4 linked regions of the Arabidopsis thaliana genome follow. The protein of the gene in region 4 interacts with the protein of the main gene of each other region in a pairwise test. Each region holds a gene or a part of one and is shown on either strand. Other genes may lie near its edges. The genes, in order: AT4G14900, AT2G03500, GSTU2 and AT5G22355.

What was found.
Region 1: the proteins of AT5G22355 (region 4) and AT4G14900 interact in a two-hybrid assay, tested with the Arabidopsis thaliana proteins (one large-scale study listed by BioGRID).
Region 2: the proteins of AT5G22355 (region 4) and AT2G03500 interact in a two-hybrid assay, tested with the Arabidopsis thaliana proteins (one large-scale study listed by BioGRID).
Region 3: the proteins of AT5G22355 (region 4) and GSTU2 interact in a two-hybrid assay, tested with the Arabidopsis thaliana proteins (one large-scale study listed by BioGRID).

Annotation. Positions count from the first base shown.
Region 1 is NC_003075.7:8,520,256-8,526,114, reverse strand, and holds AT4G14900 (FRIGIDA-like protein), read left to right. Parts: upstream 1-1,897; 5' UTR 1,898-2,507; coding exon 2,508-3,414; intron 3,415-3,562; coding exon 3,563-3,738; intron 3,739-3,840; coding exon 3,841-4,356; 3' UTR 4,357-4,763; coding exon of another isoform or gene 4,764-5,228; 3' UTR 5,229-5,333; downstream 5,334-5,859. Other genes in the region: FdC1 (2Fe-2S ferredoxin-like superfamily protein), read right to left, coding at 4,764-5,228.
Region 2 is NC_003071.7:1,057,878-1,063,191, forward strand, and holds AT2G03500 (Homeodomain-like superfamily protein), read left to right. Parts: upstream 1-1,667; 5' UTR 1,668-2,048; coding exon 2,049-2,247; intron 2,248-2,601; coding exon 2,602-3,174; intron 3,175-3,762; coding exon 3,763-3,839; intron 3,840-3,932; coding exon 3,933-4,382; 3' UTR 4,383-4,802; downstream 4,803-5,314. UniProt on the Arabidopsis thaliana protein: Transcription factor acting as a flowering repressor, directly repressing FT expression in a dosage-dependent manner in the leaf vasculature.
Region 3 is NC_003071.7:12,629,665-12,633,042, forward strand, and holds GSTU2 (glutathione S-transferase tau 2), read right to left. Parts: upstream 1,658-3,378; 5' UTR 1,569-1,657; coding exon 1,248-1,568; coding exon of another isoform or gene 1,243-1,247; intron 1,075-1,242; coding exon 718-1,074; 3' UTR 534-717; downstream 1-533. Other genes in the region: AT2G29485 (uncharacterized protein), read left to right, coding at 926-1,067, 1,243-1,310; GSTU1 (glutathione S-transferase TAU 1), read right to left, coding at 1,929-2,282, 2,376-2,696. UniProt on the Arabidopsis thaliana protein: May be involved in the conjugation of reduced glutathione to a wide number of exogenous and endogenous hydrophobic electrophiles and have a detoxification role against certain herbicides.
Region 4 is NC_003076.8:7,400,099-7,404,507, reverse strand, and holds AT5G22355 (Cysteine/Histidine-rich C1 domain family protein), read right to left. Parts: upstream 2,802-4,409; 5' UTR 2,747-2,801; coding exon 752-2,746; 3' UTR 536-751; downstream 1-535. Other genes in the region: VAMP714 (vesicle-associated membrane protein 714), read left to right, coding at 39-129; ELM1 (fission ELM1-like protein (DUF1022)), read left to right, coding at 3,762-3,947.

The sequences.
Region 1 (5,859 bases), on a different chromosome or scaffold from region 4:
TGGAGAATGAGAATCAATAAGAGCATATTCCTCTATCAAATTTATCGAAACCTAAAACAGTCTTGATGCTTTAACCAGTCTGACATATTTTACATGGAGACAATTTGATAAACCCCCGGAAGCTGATACTAGTCTAGTAGTCAGCTTCGTAAAAAAAAACACATATTATAACTTACAACTTACATTTGATCTGAATGATTCTCGTTGAAAAGAATTCTTGAAATATTTATGATAATGCTTGATATATGCTCTCAGAACTTTGATAGATTCTGGTGATATGTTTTTAGCCTTTTGTGCTTTTTTTCCCTTTTCTTTTACCCTTCTCGCAAAGTGGTGATTGATTTTGTGGCCAGCCAATGATATCCCCTTTTGTTATCTTTAAGTCACATGCCAAAGAGCTATTCAGAGTTCTATGGTGTTTTCTAGAGTAACGAAAGTGGTAGGGAAGAGTATCTCGTGGGAATGGTTTGCCTTAATATTTGGTTAATTGGTGGCTATCTTGGTCATAGGCTATATATGCCTTATTAGGTCATTGTTTTTTTTTGCGCTCAAAGTTTCATATATTTGTGTTGGTGACTCTAGATTTAGTCTTATGGATTAACATGAAAATATAATCATATATACGAAGTAACTTTTGCCTGAAGTTTCACTTTTGCTAAATAATATATTGTCTCACAACGTTCTTGCTATATATATATCTTCTCAAATACATGGCCTGAAATGGTATAATTATTGTTTCATATTTAGTAGTCCAAGATAAAAGACAGAAGAAGTGTTATGAATTATGAATGTTTGCTTTTATCATATATGAGATTATAACCGTCATCATTGACAATTAGGACATGGATATATTAATTTTACACATAATGATTAAAAGCTTTAGATTATGCAGTGTCTTAATCATGTTGCTATATAAGGTTAGGCCAAGATTCATGTCAAATCACTGCATACTCTGCACGACTTTAGATCATTATGATCCCTTGTGAATTTGAACCCTCCTAATCTCTCTTATCCCTTTTAAATATCATGTTCCCTTAGCCCATTCCTGTTTCAACATGCGGGGAGAAAACTAATCACGTTAACTCCAAACAATCAATTATTGTTGTAGTTGTCATTTGTCAACTCTATTATCCAAAAAGTGAAATATTTCGTTTCATTCGCTTTGTTTTATCTTGTCACAATCTTTGTAAGTAAGGCTATAATTCAGTATCCTCACATATCCGTCGTTAAAAACATATATTTTCCCATAATAGGACTAAAAAAAAACATATATTTTCCATAATAGGATATCTTCAATGTTGTGGACTTGTGGTCCAATACTGTGATATGGAACATTATCTTGTGCTTCTTTTGGGTTTTGTTAAATGTTAACGTATACGATAACTAGCTATATATAGAAAATGAGATTCCTACGTCGAAAATAAAATACGTACGTTACTTTATGTTCTTATAGTTAATGATGGTTAGTGCGTGGTTAAAATGTTCACCTTATCAATTGAGTGCTCGAAGTTTAAATCTTTCTACTCTGATTTAAATTATGGTTGGCAATTTTAGATGAGATGACAAAAATACTTGACTCTTCTACAAAATACGATGAACACAAAAAAGAAAAAATTTATGATGAAAAATAAAAGATAAAATTAAAATATTGAATTATCTTCACCTATTCTTTTTAAAAGAAAGTTTTTTAACACTTCTGTAAGATTATCAACATGCATGTCTTTGCGCTTCAACGAGAAGAAAGGAGAACAAAAAAAATCACGAGTATTAGTCTGAATTTGGTTCTGAATCTTTTGGTCATATATTTGATTAAATTATGTAATATGTAAAAACACAAATAATTAGTGTAAAAAGGTTTTGTGCTTACCTAATCATCACGTCTACAAACACAAATATTGGGCCCAACACTCCAACGCATGCCTATTTCATTACACCATCTACAAGTTCTTCTCCACAAATGTACTTTCATTTTTTTTCTTGGCAACAACATTCTCTTTTTTTTTTCTTTTTTTCAAAATATACGTTTTACTACAAAATTAAAATTTCGTAAAGTACAATTTTGCATACATTTATGCCGGCAATGCTTCACTGTCTTCTGACTCAACGCATGTGGTGGTCACCCACCGATTTTCTCCTACCTTTTCCTTTTTCTGGTTCACTTAAACCGATACAAATTTCGGTTTACCACAACTTTTCTAAAAATACGCGTTCTCCGCTCACGTTAGCAACAACCAATCGGGAGTTTGGTGCTATTGCTGCCGTCATAAAAGTACGCAGGCACACAAGGCGCACTCTAGATGGCTGTCATAATCGCGCCATAGTTACAGACGCCATTACACGTGTCATTCTTCTGACTAATCCACGTCATCCTCCTCCTCTTATACTATTGCCATTTTTAGGTTTTCCTGCAAAACAAACAAATCAGTCCTTCTTCTTCACTTTTGTTACCTTCTTCTCTGCAAAATCGACTAAAGTTTTGAGTTTCTTCACCGTACGATTAACCGGAGATGGAGTCTTCTCCCGATCCAGGAGAGTTGATTAAGTCGTCTCAGCCGAGTTTCTTTGAGTTTCAGAAGCAGGCGTCTCTAATGACGAGCTGCAATCTTCTATGGAAAGAGCTCTCTGAGCATTTCACTTCCATGGAGCAAAACCTGATGAAGAAATCTGAAGCTCTGAGACAGATGATTGAAACCCTAGATAATCAAACGCAGAGCTCGATTGAGTTACTCAAGCATCGTGAGGTGACTATAGACCACAGCGTCGAGATCGCGGAGGGGAAAGTTGAGGAACGCGTTAGAGCGGCGTTGGATTCGCTGGAGAAAGCTAGAGACTGTGGTGATGAAGATACCGGAGAAGTCGACGACGGCGACGGGCTTTTATCGGCGCTGAAGTCGCTTTGTTTGAAGATGGACGCAAGAGGATTTTGGGGGTTTGTGATTGCGAGGAAGAAGGAATTGGAGAATCTCCGGTCACAGATTCCTGTGGCGTTGGTAGATTGTGTGGATCCGCCGAAGTTAGTACTTGAAGCTGTATCTGAGGTTTTTCCGGTGGATAAAAGAGGTGGTGGAGAGAAAGTGAGCAATGATTTTGGATGGGCTTGTGTTGTGATTCTGGAGAGTTTGATTCCAGTTATGGTTGATCCAGTGATGGGGAAGTCTCGGCTACTTGTAACTCCTAGCGTTAAGGAGAAAGCTAAAGAGATTGCTGAGACGTGGAAGGCTAGCTTGGAAGAGAGAGGAGGGATTGAGAATGTGAAAACACCTGATGTTCATACGTTTCTGCAACATCTTGTGACTTTTGGGATTGTGAAGAAGGATGATCTAGCTCTTTATAGGAAACTTGTGGTTGGTTCAGCTTGGCGTAAACAGATGCCAAAGCTTGCTGTTTCAGTTGGTTTGGGCGACCAAATGCCTGGTAATCTTTCTTCTTTACCTTTGATTACCATTAGATGTTTTTAGCTATATATTGGGGAAGCACAAGTTGTTGTCTTTTGTCATGGGAATCTGTGAGTAGTATCTGAAATGGAAAATGATGGTTTTTGGGTTGTTATGGCTTCACACAGATATGATTGAAGAGTTGATAATCAGGGGACAACAGCTTGATGCGGTTCATTTCACTTTTGAAGTTGGTCTTGTACACTTGTTCCCTCCTGTTCCTTTGCTCAAAGCTTATCTGAGGGATGCAAAGAAAGCTACAGCTTTAATCACTGATGATTCCAACAATTCTGGCCGATCTGCGGTACTTTCCTCCATTTGTGTTACTCGTTTTCTTTGCTGGATCCATTTGCAGGGATCTGTTTCTTCTGCACTCGCTTACCAATGTATGTGTGTATTTTTCTAGCATCTTGTGGCGCGCAAAGAGCAATCAGCACTTAGAGCAGTCTTAAAATGCATAGAAGAATACAAACTCGAGGAAGAATTCCCACCCGAGAATCTCAAGAAGAGGTTGGATCAGCTAGAGAAGACCAAAACCGAGAAGAGAAAACCAGCCGTGATTCCCGCCAACAAGAGAACCCGAGCAAGCTACAGCGGTCCAATGCCACCAGCCAAAGCAGGGCGTATCACAAACGCTTACGTCTCCTCTTTCCCACCGCCTCCACCAACATTCATCAGATCCCAAAGTCACTCACCTCAATACGGTGTACCAGCATACACCACATCCCCACCTACCATCTACAGCAACAGGAGCCCTCCATACCAATACTCACCCGAGGCGGTTCATGGTTCTTACCAAACCTCTCCGGTCAGTTATCCGACAGCATATGGTACCTACTGCAGTCCGGTGGCTGCTCCACCCCCTCCAGTTTACCATCCTCACCCGCACCACCACCACCATATTCAGCATGCTTACTACTGATTAGACAATGACAAAGGAAAAAAGAAGATGGTAAGTAACCAACCACTGATCTCTGGTGTCTACGTTTTGTCTCTACCTCGTTTTTGTTGTAATCTCTCTTTTTTTATATCGTATCATTTGTAGCTAACACTCTCACTCTTTCTGGTTCTGAATTAGTCTACCCTTGTGTGTTTATTAATCTAAATTATACATATCTATTCACTTTCCTAATGTTTCAATCAACGAATTTAGTTCAGTACTTAATAGATTCATCTTAAACCAGGAATGTTTCACTGTGATTATGTTATGTATCACTGTTTGTATTGGCTCATTGAAATCAAGATTTCGAAGTCTCATAGCAAGATTCGTTACAAAGTGTTCGTATTACACCAAAAAAAAGACTTCTTTAGTCTAAATCAAGAAGATGATTAGTCGTTGGCAGTGGCGAGCTGGAGAGACAAGAGTTCTTCCTCAGGGATCATCTTAATGTGACAATCAGAAGTTGGATACGAAGCACATAGAAGCGTGTAGCCACGTTCAACCACATCATCACTTAGCATCCCACCACTTTGATCCACCGTTCCGGTCACGAGTTTCGCTGGACAAGTCATACAAACACCGAGATTGCAGTCGTAGGGAACGTCAAGGCCAGAGTCAAGAGCCTTAGATAGAATCGTCTCGTCTGGTTCGACTTCCAATTCAGTCGTCTTTCCGTCGTGCTCTACCACCACTTTATATGCCCGAGCTATGATCCTTCCGGTGGTGAGAAAGTTCCGGCGGTTTGTTGTTGTTGAGAGTGTTGCGTTACGGAGTGGGAAGGAGAAGGAATTGGAGAGATAAGGTTTAGGGAGAGAGATTGTAGAAGTTTGAGTCGGGAGAGGAAGAGTCGCCATGAGAGACAGAGAGACGGAGACAAAAGAGTTTTTGTGTCAAGTGAGAGTGATGACTGTTTGTGGTGAATACGGAGATAAGGTTGATCATCGGTTGTAGATAGTGGTGGGACATAAAAACCGAAAACCGACTTAAACCGAAATTCATTAATGCATTAAACCGAATTAACCAAGATCTAATAAAATGAATTTTAAAATTTTAATTATATTCGTAATTAAGGGAAATATTTTTTCCAAAACAGTTTGAACAAATAAATTCAGTATTATTTTTCCATACTCAAAACTCCAAATCGGACTAACTGAAAAAAAGAAACCGAATGTTCAAACCCCAGTTATGGAAAATATTAACCGGACTTAATACGGATATGACCAAATCAGACCGAGAAGTAGTAATTCTGGTGACCAACCACCGCGTTTTTCTAAATTGATAGCGTGTGCCATGTGACTGACACCAAAGAGATCATATATCTCATCATTCGAAGATTTTATTCCATACAACCGATTTTCTCCATTTTCTTCAAAACGATTCGGGTCAAGGTTATTGACTTTCTCATTCAGGTATCATCTTCTTCCTCGTCCCATACTTTTTGATTCACTTGCTTATTCCTCTGCCGGTTTCGATTATATTTGTTTG
Region 2 (5,314 bases), on a different chromosome or scaffold from region 4:
CATATGTAAAGCTTATTTTTGCTTCATTAGTTTTTAGAGATTAATGTTCTAGAAATGTTATTATATGAAAGCATAGAGCAACTAAACAATTACAACTTCTAAATGCTCTCTTATTTGCCTTGAATATAAATTTGATTGGGTAGAAAAAATCTTGTATCATCAAATCAAATTGATATATCCGCCCCGAATTTGTTTTAATATGCATATATCTAATAATTAATTTGTATTACATATGTGCATCAAATATTAAACAGAAGCATTTTAGAGAATTAATTTTATCAGGTCCACAATTAGTTCATCGGTTTTCAATGAAACCTAGATACGAAAAGAAATTTTGATAAGACTTTGAATTGCAAAAACTCTTTAAAAAAGTTTAAAATATTTCTAAGTAAGAAGAATCTTCTACCTTCCTGGCCACTTCACTAAAGTCCGGTGGGAAGATTCTGCGACTCTCAAACTTCTGTCAATATTATTTACTTAAGTGAATATCTGTCCTAGTTTATGGTAATAAATTAAATCAGATATTCCCTTTCTTTCTCTTTTTTGCATCCACTAAAATTTAGAATAATTATTCAACTTTTTTAAGAAATTCAATTTACAAAAAAATATTGATCAATCGTTATCTCTGTCTCTCTCTCTCGCCGTCGTGCAACTATAAATATAAAAATCTTGTGGCCTAATATGTGCTTCTTTGATTTATATTGAATCTCAATTCCTTTTGAAAATTTAAAATAATTAACTATATAAATTAAGAAGGTGGTAGAAGAATATTTGTTTTTCTGGCAACGACTATAAATTTCCCAAAATGTACTAAAACGTTCACAATTTATTCCTTTCACATAATTGCGTTGGTGATTCCATAATTTTATTTTAACTTTGTCGAATATATAAGATAATTAAGAACCAAATACCTGAAATGTTAGCTTAGATCTATTTTTCAGTCAACATGAGCTAAGATTTATAGGAGAATTAGGAAACATATTTTATCTTAAGAATTATGAGACTGAATTTACGAAAGTATAAGCTATGTGAAGTGGTGAACCAACAAAAGCAGAATCTGAGATTAAAAACAATATATCGCTTTATTAGAAATAATTTAAAAGTTTGTATTCTTACCCATTTGTTCTTTATAACAAGTTTCCATATATTCCCTTTTGCTCTGCTGCTTTATATCTTCCTCTTTTCTCCTTTAGCCTCTCTTTTCTCTTTCTTTCATATGGAATTATACATAGATTAATTTTCTGAAGAAGTGATTAAAAACTAAGCATTATAAGAGAAGATAAAAAAACAAATCAAATGGTTACTAATTTAATGATTTTACTAATATTTACCAAGCCATAGTTTTTTATATATTAACTATTTTGTTTAAGATTCATGAAGCCATATATGGTAGCATCAAAAGCCTTGATTATAAGCTTTTTGAGAAATGAGAGTCACACATGATACACCTTTAGTAATATTGACTCATTAGAAAATAAAAATAATTTATCTTTGTTATATTTTCTCAAATTTTGCTCAAACACAAGCAGCACTTGATGTAAAACAGTTTTTTTCCGAATAATTTTACATAATATTAAAAAAAATAAAAAAATATTGACTCATTAGAGAAGAGGAACGACTTCTAACAGTAAGAAGCCTCTCACTCTCTCTCTCTAAAAAATACACCTCCTTAGTCTCTCCCTCTCTCGATAGATATATGTGTGTGTGTGTGTGTGGTGACAGATCACATTATTCCGTTCCTTTGAATTGAGCCCTCTAAAAAGGACAGGAACCTCCTTGTGATCCTCCTTGTGTCCACAACCTAACATTTTATTCCCCTTTTCCTCTATCTTCTTCTTCATTCGCTCTTCCTCTCCAAACCCTAATTTCCAAAAACCCTGAAAATCTTTGAAATATTTCTGAAGAACCATATAGCATATACATATATCATCTGAAACTTGAAGGCACCACAAATTCTTCTTGATTCCTTGATCATCTATATTATATTTATATAATCAATAAATATTCTTCCTATACAGCGAGAGAGAGAGAGTATATAAGCTATAAATATGGCGTCCTCATCAGAACTAAGCTTGGATTGCAAGCCACAAAGCTACTCTATGCTTTTGAAATCCTTTGGAGATAACTTTCAGAGCGATCCAACCACACATAAGCTTGAAGATCTTCTCTCTCGCCTAGAACAAGAACGTCTCAAGATCGATGCCTTCAAACGCGAGCTTCCCCTTTGCATGCAACTCCTTAACAATGGTACATATATCCATTTACAATATTTAGATCTACGTATATATACTTGTGTATAATATGATCTTCAAATAATCCCTTTATTACCAAAAAAAACCTAGTGAACCATTAGTTTTTTGAATTTCTTTTCACTTTTTTTTTTTTGAAAAGATCTTTATTCATTAATTTAAGAATTTATTTCATAAAAATCAGAGCTTGCTTTTGATTTCTTTGAATCACAAAACTTTTGTTTCCTCCCAACACTGAAATCAACAAAACTAACTAAAGTGATTTTAAAGGTTATAAGGTTCATGTTATATCTGTTACTTTCATATTTTAAATTACTTTACCATCTTTAATTAGTTTGATTTTTTTTTCCAGCTGTGGAAGTTTACAAACAACAACTAGAAGCATATAGAGCAAATAGTAATAACAATAACCAAAGTGTTGGTACAAGACCAGTTCTCGAAGAGTTCATACCCTTAAGGAACCAACCCGAAAAGACAAACAACAAAGGAAGTAATTGGATGACGACTGCTCAGCTATGGAGCCAATCCGAAACCAAACCAAAAAACATTGATTCAACTACTGATCAATCTCTTCCCAAAGACGAGATTAATAGTAGTCCGAAACTCGGACATTTTGATGCAAAACAAAGAAATGGCAGCGGTGCTTTTCTTCCCTTCTCTAAGGAACAATCTTTGCCTGAATTAGCTCTATCCACGGAGGTCAAGAGGGTCTCTCCGACCAACGAACATACTAATGGCCAAGACGGTAATGATGAGAGCATGATCAACAATGATAATAACTATAATAATAATAATAATAACAATTCGAACAGCAATGGAGTTTCTTCTACAACGAGTCAAAGTAATAGAAAGGCACGACGTTGCTGGTCGCCGGACTTGCACCGGAGATTTGTCCAAGCTCTTCAAATGCTTGGTGGCTCGCAAGGTACAGATACACTTATTCTAATCAACTAAGTATTAATTTGAAGTAGCTTTACCATGGTTAATCTAAAAAAATTGTCAACTAATTAAAACGATTTTTTTAGTAGACATGATATTTGAGTCACCAAATACATACATCATTATCGTATACTGCATATTTTATACATGGCTAGTATTATCATTTGTGGTTTATTCGATATTTAGGTAATAATGAATATGGTATGGCAAATTGCCATGATTTCCATTTTGCTATTTTTATTTTTTTCAAAAGGCATATTATAAAGTTTTAGTTGGCGTTTTCTATAGTTTTTTCGGTTGATAAAAAACAGTACATAAAGTGAAATTGAATATACGATAGATCAACTTGAATCAACAAAAAAAAATGAGAGATCAACTTAAGTACTTAACAATTATTCAAATATATGTAGTTAGTTTCCAAATAAATTCTAATTCTAATTCTATTTTTTTCCGGTTTAGATATGGATTTAGTTTATTAAATATAGATTAAAATAACCTTGTTAACCTAATAAAAAGTGTTTAATTTTTGAATCGAACTTGTATCCGTATTTATATGTTGGTTATATCATTGCAGTGGCTACACCTAAACAAATAAGGGAACTCATGAAAGTTGATGGTTTGACCAATGATGAAGTCAAAAGCCATCTCCAGGTAACTTAAATCACAAGTCACCACAATATGCTTTACAACTTTTTTTAACTCATATTTAAGTACTTTACTGGTGTGTTGATTTTAAACAAACAGAAGTATCGGCTTCACACTAGAAGACCAAGCCCAAGCCCACAAACGTCAGGTGGGCCAGGTCCACATTTGGTGGTCCTAGGTGGCATATGGGTTCCACCGGAGTACACCTCCGCACATGGTGGCACTCCGACTCTCTACCACCACCAAGTCCACCACCACCATACCAACACGGCAGGGCCGCCTCCACCACACTTTTGCTCCTCTCAAGAATTCTACACAACTCCACCGCCTCCTCAGCCGCTCCACCACCACCACTTTCAAACGTTTAACGGTTCATCCGGTGGCACCGCCTCTACCGATTCTACTCATCATCAGGTGACGGACAGTCCCACAGTTGAAGGGAAGTCACCGGAGAGTGGTGGTGGAGAGAGAAAAGGGTTGGCTGCTCTTAGGGAAGAATGTGAAGATCACAGCAATATTAATGGAAGTGAAATAACTCTCAAATTCTAAAAAAAATAAAGATTCTTGATTAATTAATTAGAGTAATGAGATTTTAGGGTTAGGGTTTGTGGGTGCCTACGTAACTTATTTCATTGCTTGTATCTCTCTATATATTTTCTCAGTAGAAAATGAATCACAGGAGGCAGCGAATGTTTTTATCGAACATTATGAATATCATATCATCACTTAGAAAATTCATTTTGATCATGTTACTCTTATCGTTAGATAAAAACATGTATTCAAACTGGTAATCTCAAAGGGACTATCGTGTCTGTGTTTACTTTAGTTGGTTGATTATATGAATGGATAATGTGGATTGATCATATGAACTTGTGTAGGCGTTAACTATGTGTAAATTGATTAATTCATATGGCCTTTGTTTGTGTTATCAATGATATATATGAAAATTGTAGTGATGTTAAACATTTGAGCAGCTAAATGCTATATGTAAATTAATGATTTAATCGTTGTTTCCATTGTATATATATTTAGGTTCGATCATAACACAAGTCAAAATGACTTGCCGTTTAAAATTAAGACCATCATTAAAATTAGATTGTTGGAATCTCTTTGGTATTGCGGCAAATTTTCTAGTAATTGGCAATGTATAGTCTTCTTCGGTTTTAACTATCTACTATTTGTCCACAAATATTGCATTAAACGCCACAACAAATCTGAATATTTGATTGGCCGGTATGATGCATCTTCATGTGCTAGATATGGAGTGGTGGTCCTTGGAATTTTGCTCTAAAAGTCAGCGATATTCTTTATTTTCATTACATAAACTAGTCGACGCACCACTTCTGCATTTAGTTTTTCATAATCATATTATATACTCTAATATTTGCAACCTAAGAAAAAACCATTTGATGGAAAAAAATTAGGAAAAAAGAATGTCAAAAATTTGGAAGGTGTTAGAATCATTTTTGTTATGAGACAGT
Region 3 (3,378 bases), on a different chromosome or scaffold from region 4:
AATTACAAGTTCAATGTATGTACATCATTCATGTGTATCATCCAAGAACATCTAGAAGGTAGTTGTTCATCATTGCCGTCACTTTCAAATGTGTTCATCATTTATCCTCACGCCTAAACATTTCAGCATGTGTTCAAAATATTAAGAATCCTCAAAAGTCAATATTTATGTCTAACTTTGACCATCTCTCTTTTTTTTTTTTTTGATAAATATTCTTTGAACATGTCTTTCATCTTTCACTTCCGATGTATTAGTTTTGGAGAGATATGTTAAATATTTGTTATTTCATTTCTTGAAGAAATTGAGTTACCAATGCTAATACAAAATTGGATAGACTAATAGAACCAGAATATCACTAAACTGAAATACTAACCAACAATACACAATAAACCAATACTAACCAACCATACGTTAATGTTCTTAACTTCTTATCAAACATCATGTAATCAATACCACACATCATGAAACAAATTAACTCATCATCCTATCGAACTTAGATTTACCATCTTTGCAATTTATTTTCCCTAAACCATAAATCAATATTTGTTATTATAGTTATAATAGGTAGCTTTCAACATTTCACTTTGCACCCATTAATTGATTTCCACTACCAATGCAGCTACATTCATTCTTTGTTTCAAATTTTTCAATAACAAAACGATACAAGCTGCACATAGTCATTATTTTAGAACACAGAGTTATGAAGTTATCATTAATTTAGAACGTAGACTTAGCTCTCTCTATAATTTTCTTCATACGCTCAATATGTTTCTCTTTTGGAGGTATACATTCCCTCACGATCTCAACTTCATTCAAGTTCTTGATCCATCTGTTTAATTCTGGAAACGTATCCTCTGGAGTCATATCAATCCCCAAACATTCCCAAGCCCGAGCAAGACAAAACGGGATCATACTTCCCGCAACCATGTCCAAGAATCCGATCGTCTTGCCACCAAAGAAATCTTTTCCAGTGACTTCCTTCTCAAGAAACATAAGCATTTCTCGAATCTCCTCAATAGCAACATCTATTCCCTTCTCTGCTTTTACTAGGGGCATGAAGCCAACTGGTAGGATCTGCAAGTTATTATACCAATCTATAAAAAAAAGTACTTAGAAAATTACTTTATCCTACAAATAATCCTGATATAAATGCTTGAAATGTAATGAACTTCTAATAACTCTCAAGTGTTTCTCATTTATTTTGCAATCAATATTATAAATCAATTTAATTAGTTAGACTAGAGTACCTGCTCATCAACGAACTTGGCCCAGAACCGAACCATGGCCTTCTCGTAGGGATCGTGAGGTAGAATTGGATTGTTATTCCAAGTTTGGTCGATGTATTCGAGGATCACATGTGACTCGGATAATAATTTATCATTGTGAACAAGAACCGGAACCTTCTTGTGAACCGGATTTAGTTCAAGAAGTAAAGTGCTCTTTTTGGGTAAGTCTTCTTCCAAGTACTCGTATGGTACGCCTTTAAGTTTGAGAGCCATCTCGACTCTACGACTAAAAGGGCTTATCCAAAACCCTAGAAGCTTCACACTCTCTTCTTTCTTCGCCATTAGATCTCTCTCTCTGACTCTCTCTGTCACTTTAAAAACAATATTGTGCTTTTTTTTGTAGTCTCAACTCTCAAGCTTATCTTGAAGATAAAAAAAAAAAAAAAGACATCAGTAAGGTAACCAAGTCACTGCTGAGGTCACTTTGGTTATTTTATTCTTATTTCCTTCTAGTCTTGGCTTTTACAATCTCCAGACACACCACGTTATTTGATTGCTGTAACTTTCAAATAGGTTTTTGATCTTTTTACTTAAATATTAGGTCATTCTATTTTTCGAAAAACTTTAAAAAATAAAAATATAAATAAAAAACGATGCAAGCATATAAATCAAATATTTTCGTAGGCAAGAAGTATCTTTAATTTAGGCAGACTTAATTGTCTCTGCAATTTTGGTCATGCGCTCAATTTGTTTCTCTCTTGGAGGAATACATCCCCTCACTGCCTCAACTTCTTCCAAATTCTTGATCCATCTATTTAATTCCGGAAACTTCTCCTCTGGAATCATATCAATTCCAATACCTTTCCAAAGTCTAGCTAGACAAAATGGGATCATACTTCCTGCGATCATGTCCAAGAATCCGATTGTCTTGCCACCGAAGAAATCTTTTCCAGTGACTTCTTTCTCAAGAAACATAAGCAGTTCCCGAGTCTCTTCAATAGCAACCTCTCTTCCTTTCTCTGCTTTTACAAGGGACCTAAACCCTAGTGTTAGGATCTGCAAGTAAAGAACAATATATAAACAAGCGAATAATATAATATTGTTCTGCATAGAATCAACTAATTAATCTGCAAATCAATATTAGTATACCTGGTCATCGATGAACTTGGCCCAAAATCGAGCCATGGCCTTCTCGTAAGGATCTTGAGGAAGAATTGGACTGTTCTTCCACGTCTGATCGATGTATTCGAGAATCAGATGTGACTCGAGTAATATTTTGTCATTGTGGACAAGAACCGGAACTTTCTTGTGAAGCGGGTTTAGCTCCAGAAGCAAAGGGGTCTTGTTGGGCAAATCTTCTTCCAAGTATTCGTATGGCACGCCTTTGAGTTTGAGAGCCATCTCGACTCGACGACTAAAAGGGCTTGCCCAAAACCCTAGAAGCTTCACACTCTCTTCTTTCTCCGCCATTCGATATCTCTCACTTTTTGGTATCTAACTCCTCTGTTTCTTGCACTACTTTTCTTTTTTATGTTTCGTTTACTTGCTTGATTACTTGAGTTTACTATATTCTATACACAAATGAAGTTATGGGTGGTGAAATAAACAAATAAATAAAAGGACCATTTTGCTTTCTCTTTGTCTTTGTATCCAAGGATATCTTGAAGATCACACCAGAAAAGGACTGATTTATATTTTAAGGTATGCACGTCATTGCCAACGTCATTCGTCTTAGTGTTTTAAGATATTTGACCAACACTTAGTGTTTCTAATCTCCAGTCAATTAGCCGACCAAGAAATAACAAATCTCCAAATGATTACGTTCTACAATTTATATTTTAAGATTCATATGTTGAAAAGTTTAAAACTGAGAGATTAATGTATCGACTGTATTTGTAAAACACACAACTTTTTTTGTTTTGAAGAGTCTATTTTTTGGCCAATTCATTGTCTGCCAAACATTTGAAATGAATGACATTGTAAAACAGAAGAAATATTCAGTTATCAAACAAAATGTTAATCATTTTGAAAGAAATGATGTAATAATCTAAATCAAAATATAACATTTATATAATGTGAACCTTTTCAGTTTTTGGGTTTGATTCCGTCTTGATTCACGGTATCGGTTGATTTGGTTTAGTTAAACCGAAAT
Region 4 (4,409 bases):
TAATCAACAAAACTGCTTTTCTTGTTTGTGTTCGGCAGGGTCTTGTTGACATGCTTGATAGTTTTCTTGCTGTACATAATAATCGCATCTTTCTGCGGAGGAATCACTTTACCATCATGCAGATCTTAAAATCTGGCGGCCTTATCTAAGGTATACTGAAACGGACCACTGTTTTTGTAAATCAACTCAGTCGCATCATTTCGATTTGAAGCCTTGGTTTTGTCATGAAAATGACTGTGAGTTTGAAGTTACATGTCATGGTCCTCCTTGCTTATGTAACTCTTGTAAATGTCAAAATCAAAATGATACAGAGGTTCATTGAACTCTTGCCTTGTCTTTTAGATTTAGTCACGTGAGTGAGTTTGTTCTCTGTATTTCCAAAACTTTATCCGCTGTGTCTTTATAATTTTTGCATTTGCAATGTACATCACATATTCGTTATTTTTGTTGTTAAAATTACTTCAGTTTTCATCTTTGTTTAATAACATTTCTGATTCACAAATATCTGTTTCCATCATTTCTGTCTATGTTTTCATTAACTAAATCATATTAGTTGCTACTACCTTTTTAGCAAGTTTGTCATAACTTGTTACGACTTTATATATGTCATCGATACAGTTTAATCCTGCCTGTACTGATGAACACAGTATGAATATAACCAGAATGCTTAGCACTTGTAGTTGGAAATAAACTCTTACATCCAAAAAATTACGAGAAACAATAGAGTGAAATAAACAGCTACATAGTTGTCTTAGCTGTATTGATAGTCGGGCACTACACATGCATCGGAACAAATGTATCCAGTATATGGATCACAAAGCTTTAGAATGATAGGAGCTCTGCATCTGGAGTGACATTTTGCACAGAAGGGGCGAGAACTATAGCTGTTAAGAACCACTTCAACTCTAACATTATTGTAGTTGATGATGCGTCCTGGCATGAGACGTGAAAAGTCTCCAAGCACACATTCAATATGTGCAGTAACCACACATTTAGAGCAAGTGTAGAACCACTTACTTGGATCTGTTTCCGCCTCGCAAATATCACACCAATATTTTCCGGTTGCATTTTCGCCATAGCATAGGGAAAGAGGATGATTGTCGCAGCTGTGCTTTACCGTTTTTGGTAAATCAGTACAGTGTAAATCCAGATCAAAGTCACAAGTGTCACAGGAAAGCAGATAACCATCTATCTCTTTATAACATGCATCACAACAGTGATCTTTCTTATGTTCGTAATATAGAGGATGTCTGTGACCATCATGAATGACCGGTTCAGAACGCGAACCACAACGTACATCTAGAACCCACCAATCAGAAACGTACCTGAAACCAGTAGACTTCGTTCTACAAGCATAGCAGCGAAAGACATCGTAGAATCTAAAATCTTTGCTATGGAATGTACGAGGTGGTCTGGACCATAGTGTGAATGGTTTTGTGTGGAATACATGTCGTTTCTTTTTTGGATGATTAGCGCATTTCTCATGGAGAATGAAACGACATTCCTCACAGTTGTAGATCGGATCGGAATAGATAGGAAGGACGCATGCTTCACAACGTGAGCCTTCGTCACGATTGATATTGTCCTTGTTGAGTCTTAGATTATGTTCTTCATGACTGAAATGCTTGATCAAGTTATCACCCACCACTTTGAACGGCACAATATCTTCGTCATCATCATCTGGTGTCCCTTCGAGTTCTACCCCATCCCATACGTCTTTTCTTGTTGCACATAGTGAATGAGCTGCATAGTTCGGGCAACGAGGGCATAAATAAGCCCCATGGTATTGACTTATATCTTTGCGACAAATACCGCATCTCGAGTACCCAACACCGAGATGATGGGTGAAAGAGATGCGATGATCGTGACGGTTGATGTTTATGACACGTGGTAAGTCAATACAAGTTCTATGGACAACAAACCCGCATTGAACACACATGTAAGGACTTCGATCACCTTGCATCCCACAAGCATTACATTCAAATGAGATGAGTCTTGATAAGAGGACAAGTCGATGCTCGTGCGTCTTATGATGCTCGATAGCAAGTGGTGGTGGATCTTTTGTACAGAATCGACATACGCTGAAGTTGCATATCGAGCAGCGATAAAGCACTTTGTCTGGTCGTTCTCCACATAAAAGACATGTCTCTTCAGCATCACTTGTTAGTGATTCATATTCAAGTAACTTGAGAGAATGTTGAGGATGAGAAGGATGATTCACCTCTTGGGAAAGATTGACACACTCGACATGAAAGTGGACTTCACATTCAAGACATGCATAAGAACATCCACCATTATAGCCCTTGCAAATTCCGCATCTGCGCCTACCCGGCTTTGCGGGTTCTTTCAAGAAGATAACTGGATGATGATGAGACTTTGGATGTTCGATAGAAACCGGCAATGGATTTATCCCACAAGTGAGATCCACGATGAAGTCACATTTTGATGAACAACGATAACCAAAAGCGAAAAAAGTCTTGCCACATAGATTACATTTACATGGGTTCCTTAGAGAATTGTGGAGTTTAAGAGTGTGTTGAGGATGAGAAGGATGGTTGATAATCTCCGGTGGAGCCTCTGCGCACTCTTTGTGGAAGAACAAACTAGTAGAGGAAGGCTCGTTGCAACGGTAGCCGCCATAGATGGGACCTTTTATATTGCAACCTTTACAAGAATCATTAACAAAACGAGTCGAAATGGTCAAAGGATATTTGTGAGTTGGTAGTATTTTGGGTGGTAGATCCATTTTGTGATTCAAATGCGGTTTGTTTTCTGGAGATCTCAAGATAATACTACATCATATGAATGCATCTTTGTAACCCCAATATAACAAAGACACGTAATGTGTGAACACCTTAACGATTCTTGTCTCCAATGAATCATGTGCAATCGATCCTGTTTTCCACGAGATGATTATAATATATAGTTGAATTATTTCATATTCCTAACTGTTTACAACCTGCACACATTAAATTATCTTATCATCGTTATAGCTACCTATGAATATAATAGTATGAAAATACCCAATAAATTAATTTCCTAAACTCAACATCTAACGTGTTAACAACAGCTAAGATATATAATTATATTGAATCATTTCTGCAATTTCATATTCTCTATCGTGACACTCGGAGTCTTGAGATCGCTAGATTTCTTTGAATACTATGATTGGTAAAGTCGTGTGTAAAAAAGTTAGACCGAGACAAAACGAGGCACAGGAAGAACAATAACAGTTGGGCTTTTTCCAGATAAGGCTTCACCTTTTAACAATCAAATTCTACATATTGGGCCTACGAAGAGGTTCATAAGATTTGAATAGACAATTAGAAAAACAGCAATTATGTGACAAATAGTGTTTTATTCTAATTTTGGATGACTATCGGTGAAATTTTAATTTTAATCATCATATAACAAAACAAAATTCCAAAACTTCAAATTCTAAAATCAAAATTTTTAAAATACCATACAATTTCTTTTTTTTTAAACAATTGTATGTTTTGTATTGACAAAATTAGTTTTATTGATTAGCAAAAAATTCGTTTAAGACCTTAAATTTGTCCTTTGTTAATTGTTATACCAAATTTTAGCGTAAAGACAATCTCTTGAAGGAGAAAAGGAAAACAATCTCTCTTTCTGTGACCTTTCGCAACTTGTCAAAGCACCACGACCTTCTCTCTACGGAGTTGAGATCAATCCCCCCAAATCTCGGTGTGGTTCCTCTAGGGTTTTTGATCGGAATCGGAATCGATAATCTAACCGGCATGAGGCCAATCCTATTGCCGGATCCACCCAGTCTATCTACCGGCGTCCCTGATATTTTCGAACAAGGCGGTTCCCATAACGTCGTCAGACGCGCCGTCGTCATCGGAAACGGTTTCCCTGGCTCCGAGAATCAGTGTATCGGTCTCGTTCGTGCGCTCGGCTTATCTGATAATCACCTTCTCTACGTGAGTTTCTTTGATCTAGGCTCTAGACGTTTTTAGCATCTGCTTAGTGCTTTCATTTCGTCGACTATAAACCATTGATACTATACTCGAAATTCTCGTCAGTTTTTGCTAGGCGCATGATGTAGTTGAGAGATTGATGATTGCTTTTGGATAGGAGTTTCTTTTACTTTGTTGTTTCGTCGTGTGTTCTAGGTTTTTAGCTTGTTAGGTCTCAGTCTAAGTAGGAGTGGAAATTTCATATTGTTTAGTACTTCTTTAGAGTGTATGAATGTTCAGAGAAGGAGGAACTATTTGAATTTTTATGGAAACAATGAATTGGTAAATATGTAAATTTGCCAATATCTCAAGTTCTGCAAATTTAGGGTAAACAGTGGAAGGTTCTTGGGGTGTCATAACTACCTATATTGTCAGTTTTATTTATAATTTTTTTTGGTAAATCTTAAAGAGAATTGAATCATTGGT